3 linked regions of the Cricetulus griseus genome follow. The protein of the gene in region 3 interacts with the protein of the main gene of each other region in a biochemical or structural test. Links are inferred from orthologs where the notes say so. Each region holds a gene or a part of one and is shown on either strand. Other genes may lie near its edges.

Region 1 (5,927 bases), on a different chromosome or scaffold from region 3:
CCTGCAAGCCCATGTCCAAGACCTGGTAGGCTTGACGGGACTCCTGGAGAAAGGGCTTGGGGGTCTCGTGCTTCTTGGAGGAATGGGGGTAGTCTTTCCTTTGATGCTGCTGTGGCCCTGGCCCGGGAACGCCAGAGGACTGAGGCTCAGGGAATTCGGCGGACCCAGACTTGTACTGGGGGTGGTGATTATAGCCTCAACTCTAGAACCTCTCCTTGTAGCATGACTCCTGCCCATTCTTCCCGGCCCCTTAGCTGTCTGGAACTCCCACCTGAAGGCACAGAAGGGTCTGAGCCCAGGGGTCGGTTTAGTTTGCCACCTAGAGAACTTCAGCTTCCTGTCCCTCTTATGTCCCCTCAGCGTCAGACATATGCATTTGAAACACAGACTAACCGTGGGAAAGAAGGGCTGTGATTAGGATGGGACAAGAGGGACCAGAAAATTATCATCAATCTCTGGAACCCCTGCCTAGCTGTCTTTACACCCTCAGTAGCTGCAATGCCCCATTCCAAAGGCTTGGGTCCTCCAGCTATCTGTTTTGACCATGGAGGCACTGCCTTGGTGGGTTCACCTTGAGTTTCTGTTAGACACAAAGCACTTATCTCTTAGCAGAGTCTTAAGAAATATAGGAAGGCCTTGTTACTCATGAAGTTGTGATTATTAACGAAACATACGGTAGGTAGAAACTTATTTTTTTCTTAAATTTAAATACATAGGGGGAATTCCAGCCAAACTCCTGCCCTCTTCTGAGGCTGTGAACTTCTCTTCATAGAAGCCTAGGGTAGATATGGAGAATACAGGGCTAGATACAGAGTTGCTCACCCCTGATTTGCTCCCAGATCCTTGGCTGTCTCCTGACCCTTTTAGCTCCATTAGGAGAAACATGTCCAAGAAGCTCTGTGAAGGCCTCAGTATTCACTGGAGGAAATGGATGACATCCTCTGCCTTCACTTATTTGCAGAAGAGGTCCTGTACAGACCTCTCTGGTCTTTCTTTTTCCCATTAGAATAACCACCTCCTCCCATTTCAGAAAAGAGGATGTGTGGTCATCACTCTGGTCCTGGCACTGCTTCTCTGCACAGGTGGGGGCTATAGGCCCCATTTAGCAATGATAGCTGTTTGATAATAAAAGTTGATTGTTTTTACACTTAAATAAGTGTATGAACTTACTCTTATTAAAGTCTTGGGGGGAAAGGTATCACATTTGAATGCTGCCGAAATGTATATATCTTGTTTAGAGTTTCTTCCTCAGTTGTCACGGAAACCTGTAGTTAGAAAGTAGAACTGGGCTTGTGGTGGTCAAGAAATGGGGAAGAGAAACCTGTATTTACATAATGTTCATCCAATGCCAGGAATTGGGGTGTTCATAAAGACTTTGCCCTTGAATTTATTTAATCCACTTATTTTGGTGAAGTTGGTATTAGTATTTCCATTTTACAGATGAGGAAACTAAGCTGTAATTAAGTGAAAATGCTTATCAAAGATCTCAGAATTAGGAAGTGACAGTTTCCGGTGCTTGGTGGCACATGTCCTTTAATCCTAGCACTCAGGAGGTAGAGGCTGTATCGGGTGTGTGTGTGTGTAATTTGTGTGTGTGTTGGGGGGGGGCAAATCTACGTGACTTCCGGGACAGCCTGATCTACATAAGATAGTTAAGAACCACACCACGCCGGGCGGTGGTGGCACACGCCTTTAATCCCAGCACTCGGGAGGCAGAGGCAGGCGGATCTCTGTGAGTTCGAGACCAGTCTGGTCTACAAGAGCTAGTTCCAGAACAGCCTCCAAAGCCACAGAGAAACCCTGTCTTGAAAAAAAAAAAAAAGAAAGAAAAGAAAGAAAACCACACCACATAGTGATCCTGTCTCAAGAAAAGTGTCAGCTGTGGATTTGAGATCAGGGTCTGATGAATTCTAGCTATTTATACTTCACTATTCCAAAACCATTAAAAAATGGTAATCAAAAATGTCACATATGAGCCTCAGAAAAACTGGAAGACATGAGGTCTGACGCTAGTACAAAGGCATAAATAAACCCAGATCTACATATGTCCAGAGATGTCCCAGTGTCCACCTGGAAACCCCTCAAAATGATGCCCTGATCCAAGATGGCTTCCCAAATTGCCCTTGTTAAAGATGGCCCCTACTTCCTTTTAGCGGAACTAAAAAGGCTCCGCCTAGCACCAAGATGGAAGTAAAATTTAGTCGTTTGTTTGTTGTCGTTGTTGTTGTTTCTGGTTCTTGCTGCAAACAGCTAGAACTCCAGCGACGTCCGCGAGGACAGCGCTTCTCTTGGGGGCCTCTAAAAACTCACAAACCCACGTCGGCTTTAGCGCGCATCCCAGTCTGGAGCGAACGGAAATGGGGCGGTTCCGGGGCGGTCGGTAGGCAGGGCGGGTCGAGGAGACACTTCCGCCCCTCACCAACATGGCCGCAGGCCGCGATTGCGCATGAGCAGCTGTCTATGGAGAGACCTAGATCCAAAGAGGGAGAACGCTGCCGGGGGAAATCGGCGACTGGAGCGGCCCGGGTCGGTGAGTGCGTCGGAGCCAGACGGAGCCTGGGGACGAGGTGGAGCGGCGAGGCGGGGCAGCTTGGCCTTGCTTCATTTCCCCCGGGCAGGCAGCGCCGGGGCTCGAAGCCTTTGTTTTGGGGGAGGGGGCCGTGCCTGGCTCTTTATCTCCTGCCCTGCTTTGTGGGCCGAGCTCGCTCCCCGGCCGGGAGTGCACACGTCCCGCCCTCCCGTGGTGTCCCGCCGCGGGCCGCAGCTGCCAGCCGCAGGCCTGGGGGGGGACCCCGGCGTCCTTCCCTGTCTCCTTTGCGGAGCAGCTGGGGCGCGGGGCGAGCCGGGCGAGCCGGGCGAGCGGGGCGAGCGGGGCTGGGCCGACGGGGTCACCGCGTGGGCTTCGGGGCTCGCGCCTGACGGGTGGTGCTCAGCTCCCCGAGCGCCTCCCGCTAGTTGGTGGGCCTGCAGGGAGACGCCTCGTTCTCAGGCAAGGTCCTGGCGCCTGGATTCTTTCAGAACTTGATCTTTTTATTTTTTTTGCTTTTGCTTTTGCGTCTGTGCTTGACGAGGGCGTTTGCTTGGCCCTCCTTTTGAGCGTGCAAACCACAACATCCTATGCTGATTTCCGTGTCACATATTCTTAAATGCTCAGGAAACGCTTCCGGATGTATAACCAAGATTTGAGTAAGTAGCCTACCGCCGTTGCTGGGTGGCCTGCGAAGTTGCTCTGACAGCTGTGGGCTATACAGTTGCTTCCTGTGCGTTGCCTTCTCTTCATTGCCTGCTTCTGCAGGCCATGCAACAAGCTTCGGAGGGGCTCTTCCTCCTGGCCTTTGAGGATAGAGACCTAGGTGGTCCCTAGACACTGGTGCTTGCCTCCCTTTGCAACGTTACTTTGGACGGTCAGTTTCACTTTCAGTTCCTTTTTGTTGTTATTTTTGTTACCATTTTCTTTGCTCTCGGGCTTTCCAAGGCTTATTATCCGCTAAACTAAGATTTTCTTTGGATTAGAAAGGTTTGGAGGATTTTATGGGTGGAAAACTTACAAAAATCTTGTCCTTTCTTGTTGAGAATATTTTATTGCTTTGTACTGTGCAGCTGTTTCTTTCTGGAGGCATCTGTCTGCTCAGTTCTTTGTTTTTCTGTTCTCTGGCGGGGTGTCAAGAGTCCTAAGGCAGAAACATTGTAGATGGATTCCTCCCCCATTGTCTTTTCTCCTTCAGAACCCCGAGCCTGGATTTTTTCCCCCTTCCTCCTGAGGCTTAGTTGATTTGGAGTTGTCATGGCAACATTTTAGCAACTGTGTTTCTCTACAGGAAGCCTTGATGAATAAAATAGAGGAGCCTTGAATATGATGCACTTGGGCTTTAGAGTTTGTAACAGATGCTGTAAATCTGAACTCCCCCAAAACAAGATCCCTGACAGTAGAATCATACCCAAGAGCCAAATCTAGGTTTTGTGGTTAGTGATGGTTTTCCAGTGGCAAAAAGAGGGTTCCAGTTTTTCCCTTTTGAGATTGAGGACTGGAATTTCTTTTTTGTTGTTATTGTTTTGTTTTATTTTGAGACAGGATCTCTCTGTATATACCCCTGGCTGTCTTAGAACTCAGTATATAGACCAGGCTGGCCTGGAATTCAGAGATCCACCTGTCTCTGCCTTCCGAGTGCTGGGACTAAAGGACCAAAATGCCTGGTGAGGACTAAAATTTCTTTCTTTGGTTTTTCAAGACAAGGTTTCTCTGTGTAGTCCTGGCTGTCCTGGAACTCACTCTGTAGACCAGGCTGGCCTTTAACTCAGAGATCTGCCTGCCTCTTGCCCCTGTCTCTGCCACCACCGCCCTGCTTAGAATTTCTTATTGTACAGTTTGTGTCTAAGAAGGGCACCATGGTGGGTGTTATTTGGTAGTGGTGGCCTAAACATGACCCTAACTATTCCTATGAAACTATAGTAGCTTTAGTAATACTCTATAATTGCTTCAATAATGCACCTTGAAACATACTATTTCTCGGCCTTCTAGTATAATTATCTCCTACCCCTCGGAGGTGGAATGAATATGGAGGAGCCGCCAGGCGGTGGCAGTGCTAGCCTTTAATCCCAACACTCAGGGAGGCAGAGGCAGGCAGGATCTCTGTTGGAGGCCAGCCTGGTCTACAAGTGAGTTCCAGGACATCCAGAGCTACACAGAGACACCCAGTTGAAACTAAAACCAACCAACCAACCAATAGATAAATAAATAAGGAGTAAAGAACATTATTTAAAAAGTTGCTTTTTAAAAATGTTATAGCCGGGTGTTGGTGGCTCACTCCTTTAATCGCAGCACTCAGGGAGGCAGAGGCAGGTGAATCTCTATGAGTTTGAGACCAGCCTGGTCTACAGGGCGAGTCAGAAATTTAACATTAGTTATGACAATTCGGCCTTATCTTATGCTTGTTTTTATTTTCTTTTTATTTATCCTATGTATCTTTTTACATCAAGTATTTTGATCCCATTCATTTCCCTGCCCCCTTCAAATCCATTTTGCACCCCTCCCCAAATAATATAAAATTTCAGAGAAAAAAGGGGGGAGGAATAATTTAAAATCTCATCAAGGAAGCTGAGGTGTGACATAGTGAGTCACACAGCATACCCCCTTTTTTTGTCCATATCTCTTTACTTGCAAGTGTTCATTGCAAAGAATCATTGGTCTGGTTTGAGGCCTCTGCTTTCTGCTACACTATTAATGCTGGGCCCTCACTGGAACTCCTCTTGGTTGTCCTGTTGCCCTGTGTTGTGGGTATCCTGAAGCTTTGGGTCTGAGGGTCAGGTCTTCATATGCTCCAGCAGATCATGGGTGGAGTGGGGCTATGCCGTTTCTTTCTAGCTCTTATAACTTATTAACCTGTTTCTCTTCATCTACGTTTTGCCTTGGGGCTTTTTACCTTTCTTTCATTCTATATATCTTACTTTCCTGTTTCCTCTGTCTGTCTGGCAGTGCCTGACTTCTGGCCCTGGGCTGTCCCCCTCTTACTCCCTTGTTCTCTTTTCTCCAAGCCTAGATCCTCTTACTTATTTTATCTGCCTGAAGCCCTGCCTATCCTTCTATTGTCTAGCTATTGGCTGTTCAGCTTTTTATTATACCAATCAGGTGTCTTAGGAAGGCAAGATGAAACAGCAACGCATCTTTACATGGTTTAACAAATGCAGCACATTCTTACAGAATTAGACAAGTGCAACATAAGCAAATGGAACACATCTTTGCCTAGTTACAATAATATTCCACATCACGTGCCCTGTAGTCCATGTTGGCCTTGAACTCAGAGAATTCCTGCCTGCCTTTATCTCCCCAGTGCTGGGATTAAAGGCGTGCACTACTACTGCCCAGTTTTCTGAGCCATCTTAATAGCCTGATTTTTCTTTTTTGTTTGAGGACAGCCTTGGTGTGTCAG
Region 2 (6,099 bases), on a different chromosome or scaffold from region 3:
TGTCTTCTCTTCACGATAATAGAACTGTCTATGCCACAAGAAAGAGAAGAATAACTGGGGAAAGCACCAGGATAAAAAAAAAAAAAAACAAAAGAAAACAAAAAGCAAAACAAAACAAAAAACATCCTTTCTCTCCCTACTGAAAAAAAAATCAGCTTTTCAGAGAAAAAGTAAACTGCTGATTTTACTTATCTGGTTTTCACAGTGCCACCAAAAGCAAAAAGATTTAGTGAAAATACATCTCCACACTCCTTGCAAGGAAAAAGGAAAGAGCCCCTGCTTCCAACAAAGCCCTGAGGAGATCTGATGAATCATTTTACTCTCTGTCCTCTTTCACTTGTGTTTCTTTTTTTAAAAAAATAATTTATTTAACTTTATTTTATGTGCATTTATGTGAAGGTATCAGATCCCCTGGAACTGGACAGTTGTGAGCTGCCATGTGGGTGCTGGGAATTGAACTCGAGTCCTCTGGAAGAGCAGTCAGTGATCTTAACCTCTGAGCCATCTCTCCAGCCTTCACTTGTGTTTCTAATGAAAGTTTAGAATTGGTAAAATTGTGCACAAACTTTAAGTAGATTGATGTGGTGTGTGTGTGTGTCTGTCTGTCTGTGTGTCTGTCTATCTGAAGAAGTCATTAGTGAGCCATGCCTGGTGCTGCATGCCTATAATCTAGATAGCGCTCTAGATGCTAAGGCAGCAGGACAGGCCTGTCTGGGCCACCACATGAGTTGAAAGCCAGCATGAGATACACAGGGAGATACTGTCTCCAAAATATAATAAAAATTTAAAAGAGGCTAGTAATGTGCCTCAGTGGTTGAGTCTCCATCATGCAAGCCTCTGTGTTCCAAAGACTCTGATGGTTTTATGAAATTTTCTAGAGTATTTAAGCATATTGTTCTTCCTATATGAATACACATCTTTCTTTTCTTTTTTCTTTCTTTTTTTGTTTTTTCAAGATAGAGTTTCTCTGTGCTTTTGGAGGTTGTCCTGGAACTAGCTCTTGTAGACCAGGTTGATCTTGAACTCACAGAGATCTGCCCTCCTCTGCCTCCTGAGTGCTGGATTAAAGGCGTGCGCCACCAATGCCCGGCTTACACCTAGCATCCTTAAAAGCAACATAGTTACAATGCTTTTCTCTTAGAAAAAGACAATTTATTTGTAAAATTTTATTGTATGATCATGAGTGTTTGCCTGTGTGTACATATGTGCAGCGTAAGGATTCAGGCATTATGCTGTCCTGCGCCTGTCACCTGGCAGAATGCACTCAGGCAGTACCCTGGTCAGCCCAGGGTTCCATGATTGCGTAGTCTGCATGCAGGTGCAAAGGACCCCTTTAAAAAGAAAGACCCCGCCCACTTATGCTCTCTTTTCCGGTTCTCTTTTTCCAGCTCTCCCTGCTCTTCTCTCCCTGCTCTCTCTTTCCAGCTGTCTTCCCCGCGGTTCCCCTGGGGCAGGCAGGACGTTTCCTGTCTCCCTCTTCGTTTCTGTCCTCTCTGTGTGTCTCTGCCTCTTTACCTCTTTTCTTTTTCCTTCCTCCTCCCTCCCCTTTCCAATAAAACTTCTCACTTAAGCTCTGTCTGCCTAGCATGTCCGTCCCTGTCCCCCTGCCACCCTCCCCCTGCTTCCCGCCTGGTCACCCTTGCCTGCCATGGAATCCACCAAGGTCCCCCATGCAAGGTTCCCTTCAAGCTTTATCGCAACATGTACCACTTGCATGTCTGGTGTCCATGGAGGTCAGAAGAAGGCGCCGAATATCCTAGAACTGGAGTTACGGGTGGGTGCAAGCCATGGTATGGGTGCTGGAAACGGAAGGCTGCAGGTTACATCACTTTTACCTGGTGCCATCTAAAGGGAATCATCTGTGGAAACCGTAATGGGAGCGAGAGCCGAAGCACTAATATACTGTAGTAAAACGGTTTTCAACTTGGAAACAAAGCTTCACTCCTTTATAACCCAGACAGTAAGGCATGAACTAAATCAGTCGAATGGCAGCTATTGTGTGTTCATGAGTACAGGTGAACCCACCAATGTTCTTTTGTCTACAGACCTGAATTGGTCAGCTTTTGAAAAAAATTACATTTATTGTTCAGGAAACTGGGAACTGAAAGTCCAGTATCTGCCTTAGTGAAATTCTGGTACCTGAATGATTCCTTCTGAGAATATCAGGGTCAAGAGTTTCACAGACATTTTTGCCATTTACAGATTCTGGCCGTGTGTCATAAAAAGGTTAAGTAGTTTAGAGTGGTGTCTAGACATTGCTAAACAACCTAGTATATGTCGTGGATTATCTAGAACATTGGTTCCCTTATGTAAGAAGCCAGGCTTTGTTCAGTGTGCATTCACTGATTCTGAAATTTGACAGAGTTGGGGACTTTGGAAGAAGGAGGTCAGGAAAAATGTTTCCTTGCTAGTGTTGCACGTGAGGGTTTCATTTAAAACAGGTAGCAGGGCAGAGGTAGAACCAGGAGGGATTAGAGATGACTATGCTAGATCCTCAAAACCTTGCATTATCCACAGCACCCAGGTGAGATCTGGAGAGAGGAAGCCATGGCTGCAGTGATCCTGGAGAGCATCTTTCTGAAGCGCTCCCAACAGAAAAAGAAAACCTCACCTTTAAACTTTAAGAAGCGCCTATTTCTCTTGACTGTGCAAAAACTTTCCTACTATGAGTATGACTTTGAACGTGGGGTAAGTTTCCCAAACGTGAAGTCTGGATTTCTCCATTTCAAGGATTGGATCTTAGATATGTGAGACATGAGATAGGTCATCCATGGTAGAAGGGGAGGTGTATGTGGGGGTAGAAATAAAATAGACTTAAGTACTTCAAACTCTTAAAAAATATTTCTTAGACTGGGAGTAGGTGCAGTCAAGCCAGGGAAAAATTCAAGAGTGTTAGAAGCTGTTCAGAGTGTCTTCCATGGAATCTTGCGGTTGGTAAAAGCTCTTTACATGCCTCTTGAGAATACAATCCAAGGATTCAAAGTTGCCTTTTTTATTTCTATTCCCTGTTGTCATTTTGTTTGGTTTGGTTTTTTGGTGGTGGTGGTGGGTTTTTTTGTTGTTGTTTTGTTTTTTGTTTTTGTTTTTGTTTTTGTTTTTTGAGACAGGGTTTCTCTGTGTAACAGTCCTGGCTGTCCTGGAACTTGCTTTGTAGACCAGGCTGCCCTCGAACTTACTGAGAACCCCTGCCCTTCAGTGCTGGGATTAAAGGTGTGTGGCACCACCACCCAGCCTGCCTTTTTTGTTTCTTGTGACGAAATTGACTATAATCATTTATTCTTCCTTGTCATCTTCCTCCTATTTGGTATTTAAAGACTAGATAAATGTTGGATTATTTTTTACTTTAAAAATGACAGGTTTTGCCAGGTACAATGGCACACACTAATGCCAGCACTCGGGTCTACATAGTGAGTTCCAGGCCAGCCAGGGCTACATAGTGAGACCCCAAACAAAGAGAAACCAGGATCTGTTAGAATATGTGAGCTACCTACCACAGAGGATGATAAGATAACAATGTGTGTAAACGTCTGAACGCTTGATCATTCTTAATCTTCCTGCGTTTTCTTCCTCCTTCCTTCAGAGAAGAGGCAGTAAGAAAGGTTCAATAGATGTTGAGAAGATCACCTGCGTTGAGACAGTAGTTCCTGAAAAAAATCCTCCACCAGAAAGACAGATTCCGGTAAGAAGCTAGTGTCAAAGAGGGGGAGCTGCAGTTTGTAAGGCGCTTGGAACTTGCAAATACTCCAAATAGAATGGTGGTGTTGTAGTGCATTGTAGAACAGTTTTGTTTCTTTAGAAACTCTTCATCAGGAGCCAGTGAGATTGCCAAGTGGGTAAGGGAAATTGCTGGCAAGTCTGATGACTTGAGTTCTATCCCTTGAACCTCACACAGTGGAAGGAGAGAACCAACTCCTGAAAATTGTCTGCTTACCTCCACATGAGAACTGTGGTACGAGTGTGGACACACACACACACACGAAACACATAGAAAGCAAAAATGTAAGAAAGAGAAAGAAAGGAAGGAAGAAAGAAAGAAAGAAAGAAAGAAAAGCTTGTCATTTAGGCAATGGTTCAGTGGTAAAGTGCTTGCCAGGCAAGAATCCCCAGAACCCACCTAAAGCCAGACCCAGGAGTGTATTCGCACCTGAAATCTCAGCCCTCCTGTGGCAACATGGGAGGTGGAGACAGGAGAATTCTAGAAACTCAAGGTCCAATTAGTCTGGCATATGCAACGACTGAAAAAGTGACCATGTCTCAAAGAAGGTGGAAGATGAGGACTGACACTGGAAGCTATCCTCTGACCCCCACAGGCATGCTCTGGAAAATAAGTACGTACAGACAGACAAACAGACAGACAGACAGACAGACAGACAGACAGAAAGAGAGAGAGAGAGAGATTAAAAAAGAATTTGCCAAAAGAGAATTTGCTTGCTTTTTTTGAAAATATATTTTATTTTTAATTGTGTGTGTGAGTTGAGTGTGTGCATTGTGTGTATACAGAGGCCAGTGTGTGTGTGTGTGTGTGTGTGTGTGTGTGTGTGTGTGTGTGTGTGTGTGTTGAGTGTGTGCATTGTGTGTATACAAAGGCCAGCGTCAGATCCCTGAGTTAGAATTTCAGGTGGTTGTGAGTGGACGTGTCTTCTTGGGACCAAGCTTGGATCCTCTGGGAGAATAGTTATGTACTCTTAACCAGTGAGCCATCTTTCCAGCCCGAAAAGTCTTCAGTCTTCCATGAATTGGTGATAACAAGTCAGCTTTATTCTTCCTGAATTCCCAGGCTGTTTCCAAGGAATAGCACCGGATGATTACTGAATTGATTTTTTTGTCATTTTATTTTTCCTGTTTATAAGATTATGCATATCTAGGATAGAAAATGGAAAAATATAGAAATCACAAAACTAAGATAAAAAGATATATAAACCCATTATTCATTTAAATAATAATTATCATTCTGGTATATACAGGTTTAAATATGTTTTCTCCACTAGCGATACACATGCACCTATATATTATATAACTAGAATACAATGCTACTATATATCTTGCTTTGCAAGCTACCTGTATTTTTGGGGGGAGGGAGTTGGCATTTTAGATTTATTTATTTATTTTCTGGGTGTGTATATGTATGTATAAGTGTGTGTAAATGTATGTAAACCTGTTTGTGTGCATGTGGAAGCCAGAGGTCCAAGTCAGGTAAGTGTCTTTCTCTGTCCCTCTCCTTCTTCTTTTCCCTTTAAAATGTTTTAATTAATTATCTATCTGTCTATTTGAGACTATGGAGCCCCCTGAGTGCTAGGATTAAAGGCGTGCATCAGCATGCTTGGCTAAACTTTTGATGTATCTATCTGTCTGTCTATATGTAATCTGTCTATCAATTTCCACTACGGAGTTCCTGGAGAGTGAACTCAGGTATTCAGGCTTGGTGACAAGTGCCTTTACACTCTGAGCCAGTTATTTGGCCCTTTATACCTTATTTTTTGTTCTGTTTTGTTTTTTTTGTTTGTTTGTTTTTTAGGCAGGGTTTCTCTGTGGCTTTGGAAGCTGTCCTGGAACTAGCTCTTGTAGACCAGGCTGGTCTTGAACTCACAGAGATCTGCCTGCCTCTGCATCCTGAGTGCTGGGATTAAAGGTGTGTGCCATCAATGCCCAGCTCCACCTTATTTTTTTAACTACTTTATTATTTTATGTGTTTGGGTGTTTTGGCTGTATGTTTGTCTGTGTACCATGTGTGTGTGCAGTACCTGAGGAGACCAGAAGGGGGAAGGCAGATTCCCTGGAACTGGAGTTACAGACTTGTAAGTTGCCGTGTTGGTGTTAGGCATCAAACCTGGGTCCTCTGCAAAAGCAGCCAGTGTTCTTAACTGCTGAGTCATATCTTCAGCACCCCACCCTTATTTTTTTAAGGTTATTATTTTGTGAATGTTTGCATGCATGGCACCACATACATGCCTGGTATCTGGTGCCTGTGGAGGCCAGAACACTGCATCAGATCTAGTGTAGGATCCTATGGAACTGAAGTTACAGGCAATTGTGAACCTCCATGTAGGTACTGGGAACCAAATCTGAGTCTTTTGAAGGTTAACAAGAGCTTTTGACTGC
Region 3 (5,352 bases):
TTTTCTTGCCATCTCGGATATTGGCATCCTCCTTCATCCCTGTCTCCACAGCTTGTTGGCATTCATGTGGAGGGTTACACTGCCGTTTAATGCATCGGGTTTCTTTGAAAAGAGCCAAACTGTATGATTGTGTTTAATTCTCTGCTTTTGCAAAGCACCCTCTGTGGTTTTTCATGCAGCTTGCAAAGGTAATCTTGCACTTTGCCTTACAGCATTGCAGTCCCCAAAACGACCACGAAGCCCTGGGAGCAACTCCAAGGTTCCTGAGATTGAAGTCACGGTGGAAGGTGAGCCGTCCCACACTTTTCTCTTGATTCTTTACCTTACAGTTGTGTGGACTCAGTAACTCTGCTGCCTTTGAGGTTTTGTCTGAAAAACAACTGATGCTAAATTTATTAATTTTTTCTTTTTAATTGTTTTTCAAGACAGAGTTTCTCTGTGTAACAACCTTGTCTGTCCTGGGACTCGCTTGGTAGACCAGGCTGGCTTCAAACTCACTGAGATTCACCTACCTCTGCCTCCCAAGTGCTGGGACTAAAGGCTTGAACCACCACCACCCAGCGAATATTTTGCTTTTTAATGCATGAGTATGTATGTGTGCTCTCGAGTGTGTGTGCATGCGTGTGTGGGCGTTCATTGTTACAGGCTATCTCAGGTGTCACCCTCAGGAACACTGTCCATGTGCTTTGAGATAGGTCCCCTTTTTGGACCTTGACCTAGCTGGGTAGTCTAGACTGGCTGCTCTTGAGCCCCAGGGATCCATGTAGCTAGGGATCAAACTTTGGTGACTCAGCTACCTCCCTGGCATAATTTATGACTGTTTGTAATCTGAGGGTCCTGTGAGGGTTACTTGAGGGGAACCCCTTGGATTGTTTATCCATAGTCAGGCAGACCAAGCCCAGAGAGATGTTTCTCATCTTTTTCCTGGTGGTTTTTCCTACTTTTGATGAAATGCATTTATAGGTGGTTTGAATAACAGTGTGCTTGTTCAGAGCAGCTCTGTGTCTTCACATATATTCTCTTCCGGCCTCTGGTGTAGGCCTGTGAACTTTGGAAGCTCATTGTCTAAAACGGCTGACATAGTAACAGGCAGCCCTGAACCCTGGAACTGCTAGGCACATTGTTTTCATCGACGCAGAAGGAAGCAACTGCCTAGGGGACAGTTGATTCTTTTTGATCCTCACTTTCTGTATCCTCTCAGTTGTCCCCACTTAGTTGTCTTGCATACTTGCACAGAGCCCTTTTTCTCAAAGAAAAGGGAATCATGTTAAGTGATTAGTAAATAATGCATCCTAGCTACCAGAGTAAACAGCCCTGAGGAGCAGTGGCCCACAGGGAAGCAGTCTTCCTTGCTGCTTTTACAGAAGATCTGAGAAGGGTGACTTGTCCCCAGGACTCTGGCCCTTCCTTCCTTGTAAAGTGCAGGTGATGTTCCTTTTAGTCAAAACACTTCAACAAGAAGCCAAGTCAAACCCGGGCTGAGCCCAGGTGACCTGAGAAACATCAGCAGTGAGGGATGAACGGACGCTACGTCAGCCTGAGGTTTCATCCTAAGGTTCTGGTTCACAAAGGAGATGACACTGCCTTTGGTCTACTTGAGGCAGGGACAGAGGATGCTCTTTCCTGGACGGCAGGCATGGGAAGAGAGGGGAAGAGAGTGTTGATCATGCAAAGCCGTAGCCTGGTTGTACATTTTGTTCCTGTTTGTGCTGGATCTCAGGTGCATTTTGACATCTGTTGCCAGTTTCCTAGGGAAAGCTGAGTTGCTGAGTTTAGAATCAGAATGGGTAGGGGGTATGAGGGAGAGGAGAGGAAGGGAGGGAGAGAGAGAGAGAGAGAGAGAGAGAGAGAGAGAGAGAGAGAGAGAGAGAGAGAGAGCGCTGTATTTTCTGGTACATGGTACATGCTAACCACAGATGAGCACACCTGGTAACTGTGGTTCGCCTTTGAATTTTCTCTAGGCCCCAACAACAACAGTCCGCAAACCTCCACCGTTCGAACTCCTACCCAGACCAATGGTTCAAATGTTCCCTTCAAGCCTCGAGGGAGAGAGTTTTCCTTTGGTAAATACATCTCTTATTTTTCTTGATTTCAGCATTTCACATAAAAAGAATTAGTGTGGTGTGTCAGCAGGACAGTGGTTTTTCTTGGGTGAGTCAGTGTGTGTCAGGTACTGACATGCAGCAAGAGCCAGGTTGCCTGTGCTATGGTGTGAGTCTTCCTATAGGCCGTGAGCGAAGTGTGTACCCCAGGGGTGCCTGAGGATTGTAAGTTGGGTTACTGCATGTACCCAGAGCTAGAGCTGGCGTGTGGTAGACACTGTAACAGGTTCTTTTGTTCTTCATTTCAGCGTGGGTCACAGTGTTGGTAACCCAGTCTAACAGTTTAGTTTAGTTATATGAGGATTGGAAGGACAAGCACAGCAGCCGTATTAAGAACCTGCATGTTTCTTATATAAAGACGTAGAATCATGTATGTATACATGATGTGAATGGAGTAACACTGTCTACGGGACACGGATGCACTAGCGGGCAAGGGAGAGAGCATGCGCAGCGCACAGATTCTGTCACACAGTGACACGGTGCACATGAAGGGAACAACCTGCTGTGTGTTCTCCTGTGCTCTGTAAAGCTGCAAAATAGATGAAATATGAAGCCAGGGCATTGGCGTGCTCCTTTAGTCCCAGCACACGGGAGGCAGATAGAGTGACCGAAGAAACTATTCAGTCAATGAAACGCTAATGTGAAAATCCCTGCCCTCCCCGGGGGACCCTTGCTGACGGCGGCTGCTGCTCTCTACTCGCAGAGGCCTGGAACGCCAAAATCACAGACCTGAAGCAGAAAGTGGAAAACCTCTTCAATGAAAAATGCGGTAGGTTTGTTCAGAAGCATTGAATATGAAGTGGTTCTCTAATAGAATTGGTCTAATTTGATATTTAAATGTTTTTGGAAATGTGTGGGTTTCAGCTTTCCATTTCTACCCATTCTACTATCAAGAATTCTAAGAATATTTTACAAAATTAAAATGAATATGATTTTTCAAATAAATAAGGATTTGTAGCTGCTGCAGAGTGTTGCAAATGGCTGTTCTAAGTCGTGCTATGGAATGAGAGTGTCCTGTGTTACAGGGGAAGCTCTTGGCCTTAAACAGGCCGTGAAAGTGCCATTTGCATTGTTCGAGTCCTTCCCGGAAGACTTCTATGTAGAAGGCTTACCTGAGGGGGTGCCCTTCCGGCGACCATCCACATTTGGCATTCCAAGGCTGGAGAAGATCCTCCGGAACAAGGCCAAGATAAAGTTCATCATTAAAAAGTGAGGACCGGGGCTGGAGAGATGGCTCAGAGCACCGGTTGTTCTTCCAGAGGTCCTGAGTTCAATTCCCAGCAACTACATGGTGGCTCACAACCATCTGTAATGAGATCTGGTTCCCTCTTCTGGTGTGCAGATTTACATGGAAGCATACATAATAAATAAATAAAGTCTTTAAAAAAAAAATAGTGAGGACCTTCAGTTTGAGAAGATGTCCAAGGGCTGGCTTCACAGTGCGGTGCTCTGTCAAAGAGCTAAGTTCTTATAGGATGGAGAGACAACCCAGTGGTTAAGAGTGCTTCCTGCACAGCTTTGAGAACCTGAATTCAGATGCCAACTCCCTCATAACAAGCTGGGGGTAGCCTGGGACCATAGTGCTGGGGGTTGGGCAGAGGCTGGAGGGTCGTTGGGGCCCGCTGCCTGGGGTGGGAATGTGAGCCGTGGGTTCTGGGAGAGATCCTCTGTGAAAGAAATAAGAGGAATAGAGGACACCTGAAGCCCTCCTCTGGCTTGTGCATGCAGCACACGTGTGTACATGCAGCACAGGCCCTTTTATTTGTTTGGAGGCAGGGTGTTACTTGCATACACACTCTTCATGCATGTACCCAGGCTGCAGGCTTCTGCTCTTGGGTCTCATACTGATTCTCAGTATGTGCTCTGCCCTTGGGAAGAAAATGGCAGTGACATCAGGGTGGCCAGAGAGGGTCCAACAGCCGTAGATGCTGGTGTGATTGGTCTGCTTGGGCCCAGGTTGCTTCCAAGTGTGGCACATGATTTGCAGAGCTGCAGGCTCCAGCGATTCTTCCCTGTGTGCCTTGCTCTGAGTTAACCAGCCCATGCCCTTTTCCTCTTGATTGTAGACCTGAGATGTTCGAGACGGCCATCAAAGAGAGCACCTCTTCCAAAAGCCCTCCAAGTGAGTGTCCTTTGCAAGCAGTACCGTGACAGCGTGGCTCTTGGGCAGTCATCGGTTCTAGAGCAGCAAACACTGTGCAGTGTTGCTCTGCAGAAAGATGGGCTGTCAGAAAGTCTGCCATCTTTAGTGTCTTACTGGAATACATCCAGCATATAAGTACCTGCCCTACGGGGCCAGGCTGAGGCCAGCTCATTGCTGACGAAGCATGCGGCTGTGGGCTATTAGAGAAAATTTTGACTATGTATGTTTTGCCTAAACCCTAATCTTTCATTTTTGCTTACAGGGAAGATAAACTCATCACCCAGCGTTAATACTACTGCATCAGGTGTGGAAGACCTTAACATCATTCAGGTGACAATTCCAGGTATGATTTCTGCCTGCATCATGTAATCTTTTGGACTCCAGATTCCTTCAGGGACAGCTCACGTAGTACAGTGTGTTGTGTGCTTTGACCAAACCATCCCTCCATCAACCTGGCTGCACAGGGTCTGACCTAAATTCAGCCCTTCTCATTACTTCATGTCTCAGTTCTTCAAAAAGTCTCTGTGGAGGCTGGAGAGATGGCTCAGTGGTTAAGAGCACTGGCTGTTCCTGAAGACTCGGGTTTGATTCCCAGTACCTGCATGATGGCTCACAACCATTTATAACTACACTCCCATGGGACCTTACAACTCTACTGACCACCTTGGGCATTGGGCACACACATGTTGCATGGGCCAAACACCCATGCATATAAAAGAAATCTTTAAAGAATAAAATATTCTTTTAGCCAGGCGGTGCTGGCACACACCTTTAATTTTAATCTCTGAGTTTGAGGACAGCCAGGGCCACATAGGGAAATCCTGTCCTGAAAAACCAAAATAAGTAAATAAGATTCCTTTAATAAACAGCCTTTATGAAACAGCAAAGATGTTTGCTTAACAGGAATGGAGTTGGATCCTCTTAAGTTGGTTTTAGAACATTTTTTATTTTTCCCTTTTTTAAATTTTATGGTTATTTTTGTCTTGGTGATGTCATAATGTGGAAATACCCCCCTCCCACACACACTTTTTTTTTTTTAGGACAGAGTTTCTGTATTAGCTCTGGCTGTCTTAGAACTCACTAGGTAGACCAGGCTTGTCTCGAAAT

Evidence for each region. The genes of interacting proteins can lie anywhere in the genome.
Region 1: the proteins of Gtf2i (region 3) and Usf1 form a complex in vitro, tested with the Homo sapiens proteins (2 studies listed by BioGRID). The link is inferred for Cricetulus griseus from reciprocal best matches to the Homo sapiens genes GTF2I and USF1.
Region 2: the proteins of Gtf2i (region 3) and Btk form a complex in vitro, tested with the Homo sapiens proteins (4 studies listed by BioGRID and IntAct, with this or other methods). The link is inferred for Cricetulus griseus from reciprocal best matches to the Homo sapiens genes GTF2I and BTK.

The regions. Positions count from the first base shown.
Region 1 is NC_048598.1:21,482,253-21,488,179, reverse strand, and holds the start of Usf1 (upstream stimulatory factor 1), read left to right. Parts: upstream 1-2,375; 5' UTR 2,376-2,530; intron 2,531-3,154; exon of another isoform or gene 3,155-3,186; intron 3,187-3,226; exon of another isoform or gene 3,227-3,404; intron 3,405-5,927. Other genes in the region: Arhgap30 (rho GTPase-activating protein 30), read left to right, coding at 1-414.
Region 2 is NC_048604.1:45,524,946-45,531,044, forward strand, and holds the start of Btk (tyrosine-protein kinase BTK), read left to right. Parts: upstream 1-2,547; coding exon 2,548-2,688; intron 2,689-3,580; coding exon 3,581-3,679; intron 3,680-6,099. UniProt on the Homo sapiens protein: Non-receptor tyrosine kinase indispensable for B lymphocyte development, differentiation and signaling. Binding of antigen to the B-cell antigen receptor (BCR) triggers signaling that ultimately leads to B-cell activation.
Region 3 is NC_048597.1:113,345,231-113,350,582, reverse strand, and holds part of Gtf2i (general transcription factor II-I), read left to right. Parts: intron 1-212; coding exon 213-287; intron 288-1,961; coding exon 1,962-2,063; intron 2,064-2,805; coding exon 2,806-2,871; intron 2,872-3,127; coding exon 3,128-3,311; intron 3,312-4,168; coding exon 4,169-4,224; intron 4,225-4,507; coding exon 4,508-4,588; intron 4,589-5,352. UniProt on the Homo sapiens protein: Interacts with the basal transcription machinery by coordinating the formation of a multiprotein complex at the C-FOS promoter, and linking specific signal responsive activator complexes.